2 linked regions of the Drosophila melanogaster genome follow. The protein of the gene in region 2 purifies or fractionates together with the protein of the main gene of each other region. This does not show direct contact. Each region holds a gene or a part of one and is shown on either strand. Other genes may lie near its edges. The genes, in order: CCT7 and viaf.

Region 1 (7,202 bases), on a different chromosome or scaffold from region 2:
AGTCTTTGCAGATCTCTGTGCGGCAGTGCTCACTCGCTTCCGTTTGGCCTGGGGCTTGGGTTGCTCCTTCAAGGATTCTACATCGTCCTCCGACTCTGCTTTCACGTTCAGCAGGAAACTCAGTTCCTTTTCGTAGATGTAGGAAGCTCTGGCCACCTCCTCGCCACTTTGACGTAGTCGGTTGACCCGTAGGTAGCTGTCCCTCGTGTTTTTCCAACGTTTGAGCAGTGTTTTAACTGGAATTGGAAGTTATGTATGATATAGACTCAAAAAGGTAGCCACCACCTACCTATTTCCTGCTTCTCCGGCTCGCTGGAGTCGTCAAAATTCGAGCAAAGCTCGTGGCCAATTTGCTGCCAGGCCTCATCTCTGAGTTCGCGGTTATGGAAGTTTGGGTGGCTTCGTTCCCATATAATAGAACGTTTGTGTACCGCGTCAATGAACTCGTACATCGAATAGCGCAAATTGCTTCCTGCCGATCGAAGAACTTTATGATTGCCCATTATTTATTGTTTATTTAAGGGTTGGATTGGATTGACAATATGTTGCTTGCGTTTAACAGCACCACGGGCAGCTGCTTAACAGCACTCCCCGCAGAGTTGCCACCTCGCCCCGCATTTAAACTAAAAACGTTCTGATGTTATGAAAATACAAATTTCAATTTTGTGTTTTATTATTAAACATATACAGATAGGTCAGTGGATTATTGTTGCTGTTGTTCTTGCTTCGAAGCGTGCGAAATGCGAAGGTATGACCGAGTAATACGTGTACGTGTTAAATTAGGAGAGAAATGCAAGTGAGTTTTGATGATTAGGGTGTAGTGTTCTCTGGATTTCTGAATGATTCTATTTACATGGGCCTGCCCATTCCGCGGCCCATTCCCATGCCACCGCCGGCCATCGGGGGTTCTCCGGCCTTGGGACTCTTTATTGTCTCATCGACGGAAAGGATCATGCAGGCTGCCTCGGCGGCCGCCGTCAGTGCATTGATCTTAATGATGGACGGCTCCCAGACGCACTGCTCATAGTTGTCCGAAATGTCTTCCTTGTTGATGTCGACGCCGTACCACTGTCCTCCTGTAAAAAGGTAAATGTATAAAATTATAATAATTATTAATTAGAGTTCAAAATTACACGACCGATTTGAATTCGCCAACGATTTTTGCAGGTAACATTTCGTTCAGGTGGCAACGCCGCTTACAGCCCGCGCAATAAACGAATTGAGAAGGTGCGAAAGAGCACAACATACAGCACATGTGACTCGAGTGAGAGAGGACGAGTGACAGTGAGGTCGAAGAAAAACACGCGTTGCTGCGGCTAAAATTTCCTCTGTATTTACATTATTTGGAAGAGAAAACGCAGCCAAACGAAATGTCCAGCTCCGGAAGAAAGCGCAAGCAGCAACTTAAGCCGCGTCAGGACGATCACCGGTCGCCGGTGAAGCGACGCAGTGTGGACATCAAGTCGGAACCCTTGGACGGCTATCCGGCGCTAGCAGACTACGATTTAAGTACGGCCGATATCAAGCCGGATCTCACTGAACTCCAATTGCAGCTGGTGGCGGAGCAGCAGGCGGCCAGCAACACCATTCGCTTGGAATTGGAACAGCAAGAGAGTGATTCCGACGAGGATGGCTACTCAGAGCTCGATTACCAAGCTGAAGATGTCTTCTGTCAGGGTAAGAAGGGTGCTCCTCCCGTCATTTCAAGACCCCACTTATAAAATTATCCTTTTTAAACCCAGACGATATGGATGACTACGATCCAGATTGGTCCAGCCAGCAGACGGGTTCCCGACTGCTCTTCAAATTTCCCATCCAGCAGAGTGGCCTGAAATTCGGACAACGCTTCCAGGGACCACAGCACTACTTCAACCAAGTGCTGGGAAATCGCTCCAAGTTCTTCAGTTCCCTGGCCCAAAGCTGCAACCTAAAGGGAGGAGAGCTCAAGTCCAATCCCACAACTGCCGAAGAAATGGAAATCTTTATGGCGCTTTCCCTGCTTATGTGTGACCTGAAGCTGGAGCACCTATCGGATTACTGGAGCACTAACATGTTTTACGGTCTCGTCGGATTCTCTGGGAAGATTCCTCTGGAACGGTATCAGCAGCTGCTGCACTGCCTTAACTTTGATGCACCGCAGCTACAAGCGGGCAGAGCCAAAGTGAAGAACTCTCTACTGCTAGACTTTATCAACGAGCGTATGGAAGAGATATACATTTGTGGCCAGCAACTGGTGCTCAATGAACCTATCACTCTGTGGAAGGGTGCATTAAGATACCAGGATGAACTTCCAAACAAATTCCGCACCAACGCACTACTGCTGCATATGCTAACTGAGCAGAGCGGTTTGGTGGTGAAGATTCTACCGGAGATTGTGCGGAAGGAAGACGCACCGGCATGGGTACGCAATTCCCGGCAGTTGGTGGAGCACCGAAACAAGATTGTCCTGAAACTAATGGAGGGTTACCATGGAGGACGCACTGTGTACACCTCAAAGTTCTATGGAAGCTACGGCCTGGCTCAGGAGTTGGCCAAGAAAAGCACCTATTGCACTGGTCTGCTGGACAGGAATAGATATGGCAACAGTAAGGCACTGGTGCACCAGCGGTTGGATTCCAACAGCATCTCCACCAGCTATGCCACTTCTCTGATGATGGCCAAATGGCGACGACGGGCAAAGAGCTTGTACTGCTTCAGCTCTGACTGCTTGGCCATTTATTCCAAGGAGATGGCCATGCAAAAGACAAATGCAAAACCTAAGTTGATCCAGGAGCTCGAGTTTCAACTACGACCTGGAAACGACGGTCGCCACCACCTGATCCACTACCAAGCTGCCTGCAAGGAGCTGAAGGCAAACATAAAGTTGACCATTTTCCTACTCAACATCCTCGTGTACAATGCCTATTTGCTATACTTTGCTAATGGCCAGAATGCGCGAGTCGGACATCTTAAAAGTTACTCGGAGTTCCGGGTGATCATCATAAAGTCGCTTCTAAGAGAAGAAGTGACGAACGAACCGGTAACTAGTATCCAGAAGCCAGAGACATATGAACGGTCAAAGAACAAGCCGGTGCCCGAGCCCAGGTTGAAGACCATTCTACACGAACCCATGCTTATCCAGCAGAACGGGAAGCCGGCCAAGAAAAACTGCCGCTATTGCCACAAAGGCGGAATGCTGCAGTTCAGCAGGTACATGTGCAACACCTGTCCCGATAAGCCGGGTCTATGCCAGGAACCCTGCTTCCTTCTCTGGCATGAGCAGCTCAAAAAAGTAATCAGACAGACAATTGGACGAAGTGAATAAAAATGGATTATCATTCGTTAAGAGGAACAAATGTTTTTTGTTTAAAGTTTCACACACAAGTTCTTTAAAATAAAAACTTATCCTTCCCCCTTTCAAATATAAATTTCAAATTCACTCATCGTTAAGGTGGCTTTGTATGGACAAATACCATTGGACACTCACCCTGGGCGTGCTTCTGGCGCAACTTGTTGAGAATGTTGGTGGCATCGAAACCGGCGTTGTCGCACAGCTGGCGAGGAATGATCTCCAGGCCCTTGGCGATGGCAGCAATCAGCAGCTGCTCCTTACCGGCAATGGTGCGCGAATAGTCCCGCAGCAGCTTGGACAACTCCATTTCAATGGCACCGCCGCCGGCCACAACGGAATCGTGCTTGATGGTGCGCCGCACGATCATAATTGCGTCGTGGAGGGATCGCTCAGTCTCCTCCAGAAACTGTTCGGCACCGCCACGCAGAATAAGGGTGCTCGTCTTGGCATTGGGGCAGCCTATTTAAAATGGAAAATAACAAGTGGTTGTTAAAACGAGTCCTTCAATTAAGTATACGAATAAGATTCTTACCTTGGAAGAGGTTGAAACGTTCGCCGCCCACTTGGCGCTCCTCGAAATGTTCGCACAGGCCGAGTACATTGGGCTTAATGTCGTTGGCCGTCGTCATTACGGCTCCACCGCAAGCCTTCATGGTGCGCTTAAGATCTTCTTCGGGAACGCGGCCGGCGCAGAATATGTCGCGGTCGGCGAAATACTGTGTGGCCACATCACCGATGGGCAGCTTGGAGAGGACAACATTGGCGCCGGACTCGTGGATCTTAGCCAGCTTGTTGTAGAGGATCTGCCACTCGGCGTCGACCACCTTTTGGTACTCCTTGACGTTGTCTACGCGGATCTCGGCGTTATCGCGCTCAGCCTTAAGCTCCAATTCGATGTTGAGCAGGGCAATTTTGCAGTTGTCATAGGATTTGGGGGCCATTTCAAAGCCGGCATAGGAAAAGGTCTTCTTGAAGGCCACACCCGACACTAGCTGTGACTCCTCCAGCGAGCCACCGGTCACCTTCTTAATTCCAATCATGTTGAGGGGCAGCAGCTCATCCAGGGAGAGCACAGCATCGACTACAATGCGGGAGAAGAAGTCCTTCTGCTGGTGAATCAACTTGGAGGACATGGCAGTGGCTGCGCACTTCTCAAGGAGAGCACGCTGCTGGTCCTTGGACTGTTCGACAATTTGGACGGCCATTTCGTTGATCTTTTCCATGCAGAGCTGCAGGGCCTTGCGGATGGCCTTAATGATGACTCGTGGGTGCACTCCCTCCTCCACGAAGGGTTTCACCTGCTTAAGGAACTCGCCGGCCAGCAGAACCACGGACGTGGTGCCGTCACCCACCTGAAGGAGAAGTCGAATCAAAGCTTTAGCAGTGTCACGTGCGTCTCAGGGGTGCCAATCACTTACCTCGGCGTCTTGTGACTTGGCAATGTCCACCAGGGTCTTGGCCGCCGGGTGGATGATCTCCAGCAGCTTCATGATGGTGGCTCCATCGTTGGAAATCGTCGCCTTGCCGTGGGCATCCACAATCAGCTTGTCCATGCCGCGGGGACCCAGAGTGGTCCGCACTGCGTCCACGATCGACTGGCAGGCATTGATGTTGGACACCAGTTGCGGCTTGCCCTGCGACGAGTCAGTGCCTTCTTTGAGGAGCACGATTTGCGGTTGCTGCGGATCATACGGATATAAGGCGAATATATAGTAAAAGTCTCCAATTAGTCAGCAGATGTCGTCGGCTTGCGAGAAGCTTCTTTGCAGGTTATGTTTACAATCTCATGCCGCTCGCGGACGAGTCCATGATTGGGATTCACTTGGTTAGCCTCGGATTATTTCCAGCCGGACTTACCATATTTATGTGATGGGGTTGGCCTTTAGCACGTATTACAGTTTAAAACAATAAAGTTCCTAGCAGACAGGCGGCAACTTGCTTTTCGTTCACGTTTTCCGCGATGAGTAATGGGCCAATCGATTAATCGTTGTTATTTTGTATTTAATCGATGCTTGCAGCCAGTGTGAACGTTTGGGGACTTAGTCGCACTTTACAATGAAATTTGAAATCCTAACTCATAAAAAACTATCTATTTATTTCTATCTTGCGATTTTTTAACTTTATGGTACAAAGCTAGTTTCCACACTTTTTGATGAACATTTTAAACTAATATGATATGCAGCTGGTAGTTGTTATCGAAAAAGTTATCGATGGCTCCATGACGTCACTCTTGACCGGCGAGCGGTTTTTTGAAATTGCTCCCAACTTCAAATATAGATTTGTGATTCCTTCTATTTATATAAATTTGGCGATGCACGCACGCATGTCGCTTATTCCATTTTAGAAAGTGCGCCGCATCTTCAGTTTGTTCCTACCGCTCAACTTGAGTGAGTTGTGCACCGAGCAGCAATTAAATGAAAAATAGAAGAGTCATTTGAAAGGCCAAAACGCCAGAACATTCAACCGCAAATAGGTTTAAATGAAAGAAAGCATTCTAAATCTAATTCGGTCATGTGGAATTGGAATTTTAGTTGCCCAAGACTCCTCTTAACGACGACATCGAACCACAAGGGATGCCAATGGATACTAACCGGATACTAGACAATTGCCGAGTGATTATGAAACAAATCAGGATGCTGAACCGACTATGAAAAATGCAAATAGTGAGTAAGAAAAAGAAAAGTGAAGTGGGGCTCCCACACGATAAGGCACTCAAATCAAAGTGCAAAGTTTGTTCCCCTTTTGTGCTTTTATTTAGATTTCCCCTGTGTTGACTGACTGGAATCGGAATGTGTTCTAATTGTGTCCATCATTCATCGCGTCGTTAAGGCGATTGTCAAATTTGTATGTGATTTGTGAAGATTCTTCAGCTGTTGGGGATTATAGACATAAAGATATTCATACGCAATACGTTTGGCATTTAAATCGAAATTAAAAGTATGAAATTTTAATTGCCATAAAAAGACTATAAAAAAGTTGAGCAACTTAAATGTTTTGCAAGTATGTTTATTACCAAATTTATTTACTTCTGGTCTAAACATATAATAATAGATGCACGTTTCAACAGCTTTAATGTCACGTCTTCAGATTGCTCTTAAACTTAAACTAGCACAAATGCTTTGTGCTGATATATGTTTGAGCAACGCGCCTTAATCATGCGGAAGTACTTATAACAATGTTTACACAGATATAACAATTTAACTGAATTTTATCATTACTTTATCAAACTTATACCGAATTAATATCCAATCAACCTGAAGTTCCGATATCTTTTATTTCACTGTTTGTTATTTTGACCAATTTCGTGGCGGGTTGTGTGCATATTTTGGTTATTAATAAACACGCGACTGGTTTTTTTTTGTTATGAAGTCGGGAACCGGGAGGAAAACATCTTCGGCTTTCAATAGATGGGCTCTTCCGGCTTCACGTCGGCCATTCTTCGGGGCACGCACACAGACCCGAGCTTTGCCACCCCATAACCCCAAGAAGTGCATGAATAAATGGCAAAGCTCCTTTTAATTAAATGGAAATGGAGGCAAATGTGAAAGAGCTTGCGAAAGCTCGAGAGGCCGAGTTAGTCAATCGGTGTCCGGCCGAAACGAAAGATCTCTGCTATCGCCGAGCAACGAAATTTACCTAGTATAGAACACTTCTTTTAATTTACAATTCAAATTGATTGCAACTAATTAGGATACTCCCCAAACGAACCGAACATAACTCACTTCTATTCCGACGAACTTGTGTAACTTAATTGATATAATTTCGAACTTCCTGTACGAACTGTGTGAATATATTTGAACAAAAATATATCATACTTTGCTTAACAATTGTCGAAGAAGTGCTCCACATACCGACGATATTCTACTTGGTC
Region 2 (3,661 bases):
TATTATAACGGCCAAATCGAAAATATTTGAGATCAACAACGTAAACGAGGTGGCCAAGGTGTGTACTTAATCGAAGTAGTTCAGACGCAAGAGAAGGCTGATGATTAATTCCAAAATACTCCTCTGATAGGTGTGTATGCTGTACGAATCTACCAGTTCCAACAATCCCAAGTTCTATCTGCTAGAGCTGAGCACCCTGAGCTGGCAGTTTTTGGCGGACACCTTTAGTGAATACCTTCGGATGGCCATCGCGCACTTGGGACTGCCGTACTGGGAGCTGTGCTTCTCCACCTGTGGCCTGCCCTCTTGGACAGAGCAGCTGTTTCTTTTGCTAGCACCTCATCTTCTCGAGGAGCACGAGCCACGACGTGGACGAGTACTGAATCCCGCTTGCGAGCATCCGTACAATATCATTGATCCGAACATTTTTCGGGGTAAACCAAAAAGCGTGGCAAAAGCAACGGCTACCAGCACCAAACAAAATCATAAATAGTGACTTTCTGTAGAAAAGTAAACAATTTATTTATGAGGGTACATAAATGCCAAAAAACAATGAAATGAAAACGTGCAAGGGAAATTCCTGAGGACTGGTTAATATATAAATCAATAACGTTCGCTCTCAACGGCGGATGTTTACGTTTCAAACTGCGTTTAAATGTTTGATTTGTTAGTTAAGTGAATCCGCAAAAAAAGATCCGCTTGCCGGTTTTGGATTGGGCTTTACTTGATGATTCATCCTAAAAATATTTACCCACCCCACTGAACTTAAAGTTGGATGAGGGCTATGCTTTGGCTATGACTCAGTAGAAGTCCGAGCTTTTGTCTTCGAGATCGGCAAGCATCTTGTCCCTGATCTGCGGCCGTGGATCCTCCGTGATCTCGGTGGGCACTGCTCCCGCCTGACCCAGCATAAACTCCAGCTCCTCAGCGGTCAACTTGTCGCCGCGCAGCTCCAGTGGGCCTATGTACTGCTTGCGCAGCGCACCCTCGTGGTAGATAAAGATGGTGGGCAGGTTCTTCTCGGGGAAGTTTGGTATGCAGGTGGTGGCAACGGAGCGCACGAACTTGGTCTGTGGAAAGCGGACGGCCAGCTGCTGCATGTGATGGTGGATCAGTGCGCACAGCGGTACGCCGTTGGCATACAGGTGGAGTACCACCCAGATGCCCTCGCCGGCCTTGGTTACCTCGTTGACATAATCCTGTCCTGAGATCTCGCGCACTGATCCAAATCGCGCCTTTTCAGCGGTGGCCCTCATCTCGGCGATGCGTCGCTGGCGATACTGCTCTAGAACAGCCTCGTCCTCGGAATCCTCCAGTTCGTCGAGTTCGTCCAGCGACATGTCGTCGATCTTCTTGTCGCGCTGGCCTTCATTCAGTGGCAGATCTGTGCGCCGCTGGATGGCATCGTCCATCAGCTTCTGGATCTGATCCTCTGTGATCTCCGCCTCCTTCGCCTTGGGCCCAATTATTCCCTTGGCTCGGAGCACATCATTCCACTCGGTATCTTCGTTTGGGTCCTATGGACAACAAGGCCACGTGAGTTTCATTTCATTCATGATTTTCAATACCAAATATGGGGTTTATTTTTGGATGCACCAAAACACACCCACCATTACCATTTATCGAAATGGAAAAACCTTATTGTTCGGATAATAAATATAATTTGCTTATAACAGTCCATCTTACCTGCATGTTTTTTGATTATAGTTCGATGAAATAAATTACTTAAAAATATAAAATTCTTGATCGCGTGCAGCGCTTTTATAAACTAAAAATAAAACTGAATTATTCTACACGAAGTGACTCATGACCAGGGATGGAGCGAATACCGATACATCGTACGCGCACAGTCACTTAGAGATGATAGGGAAGCGATACCTTACATACGTTTGAATTAAATATTAAATATTAAATATTAAATATGGTAAGACATACATAAATAAGCACATTTATTTATAAATTCGAATCAACAGTTTCAAGAAATCATGTCGACATTGGTTTCATTACAATATTTAATACGTACATTCTACTTTAGAGACAATTGTCTCTTTTAAAAGTTTTTCTTAAATATTAAACAGAAATCTATTAATGATATGGATAAATATTCAAAACAGTTTTTTCGGCATTTAATACGAGTTCAATTAAAACACTATTAGATGTTACTAATTAAATTATTTTCTTTTAATTTGAGCCGGTTATTTGAAAATTAATATTAACTTACAACACAACAAAACTGTTAACCGAAACTAAAGAAATAGTACTAAGAAATAAATGCCTTTAAAGCTGATTTTCTTCACCGAAGCTTTACATTTAGGAGACGCCATGCATGCATAAATATTTTTTAAAATGTTCTAAGCTCAGCTTAATGGCAAGATAAATTCCCTATCTAACAATTATTGGCTAGCACTTTTTGTCCTCCATTGAGGAACCAGTATGGTTCCCAGATACCTTGTAATAGTGGTTAAAGTTAATAATACAAATCAGGTCACCGATTTCCTCCTGGTAACCAGAAGCGGCCGCCTTGTTGCCCAAATAGATGAGATACTGCAAGAATTTCTCGAACTCAGCCTCTTCCTGCTGCAGACGTTTGAAGCGGGGGTGCACAAAGTAATTATCTTGATCCACAATAAAGGACTGCGACTGAATGACTCTGAAAAACATTTAAATTAAAGAATAAAATGAATCAGCAGACTATTTAAGACGTAAACTCACTTGCAAAAGCGTAGTATAATCACTAGGATATTATCAATGGTTTCCTTTACTTTCGCACTGCGTCGATTTAGCAGTGCTAGGAAGGCTACCCGCTTTAAGTAGGCAACATGCTGCTTGTACAACGCCTCAATGGAATCGGCTGTGCACAACTCCTCCTTGAAGCTCTTCCAGGTGGACAACAGGGCCTTGGCCACCAGATGCGTTTGAAACGAGGTCATGAAGTGCGACATCTTGTGGCGCATCATCTGCATGTGTCGGAAATGAGTACATGTCCGAAGTTCCGGTCCCAGAAGCTTGCCCATTTGCTGCAGATACTCGTAGGTTCCATCCAGCACGAAACTAACGTGACGAAGCTTCAGCAGATACCCGAAGATCTGGCCATATTTTGAAATCGTCTCCGAGCTGATCACCATGTTTAAAGGCCAATCAATCTTGCAGTTCAGCTTTAGCATAGAAGTGGCTTCCACGGACAGGAAGTTGAGCGTATCCGGGATGGTGGTACAATTGAGGGTAAGGTTCTCCGATACCGTCGTTTCATCCGCCGAACAAGCCGCCAGCGCATTGGTTAAAATGGTGTCAAGGATGCCCTTCTGGCTGAGACTTCGTGGCCCAACGCCCGCCCTTATTCTTCCTAGAATTTCGTTCGTGAGTGTAGCTCCAAATTGACCGTCCACCAGGAAAAAGTAGTTTCTGAGCTTGCGGAAATGCTCGTAGATACGCTGCTCCTGGAATATTCTCAGCACTTCATTTCGGAGCAGTCCGTAGTATGCGTTAAGGGGCGCCATTACGGAGAGCTGCAGGCAGCGGCGGGCCATAAACGGATTGCAAGCCTCGGGCAAAGTGCTAACTTTATCTCTGTCCTGTTCCGTCTCCCTTTCATCTTTCATTCCAAAATCCAGTTTCGGCAATAAGCTAGTTGGTTTAGCAATTGCAAGAACGGGCTTTGGCA

Evidence for each region.
Region 1: the proteins of viaf (region 2) and CCT7 purify together in Drosophila melanogaster (affinity purification with mass spectrometry, with the first as the bait; one large-scale study listed by BioGRID). This does not show direct contact.

What each region holds. Positions count from the first base shown.
Region 1 is NT_033777.3:8,799,667-8,806,868, reverse strand, and holds CCT7 (chaperonin containing TCP1 subunit 7), read right to left. Parts: upstream 5,306-7,202; 5' UTR 5,192-5,305; coding exon 5,189-5,191; intron 5,011-5,188; coding exon 4,750-5,010; intron 4,684-4,749; coding exon 3,864-4,683; intron 3,791-3,863; coding exon 3,467-3,790; intron 3,399-3,466; exon of another isoform or gene 3,305-3,398; coding exon of another isoform or gene 1,743-3,304; intron 1,678-1,742; coding exon of another isoform or gene 1,371-1,677; exon of another isoform or gene 1,168-1,370; intron 1,087-1,167; exon of another isoform or gene 1,077-1,086; coding exon 850-1,076; 3' UTR 635-849; downstream 1-634. Other genes in the region: hng2 (hinge2), read right to left, coding at 1-236, 290-503; CG9839 (uncharacterized protein), read left to right, coding at 1,371-1,677, 1,743-3,304.
Region 2 is NT_037436.4:11,991,353-11,995,013, forward strand, and holds viaf (viral IAP-associated factor), read right to left. Parts: upstream 1,828-3,661; 5' UTR 1,693-1,827; coding exon 1,687-1,692; intron 1,518-1,686; coding exon 801-1,517; 3' UTR 501-800; downstream 1-500. Other genes in the region: CG6931 (uncharacterized protein), read left to right, coding at 1-58, 131-493; Grip163, read right to left, coding at 2,401-2,650, 2,713-3,661. UniProt on the Drosophila melanogaster protein: Modulates the activation of caspases during apoptosis.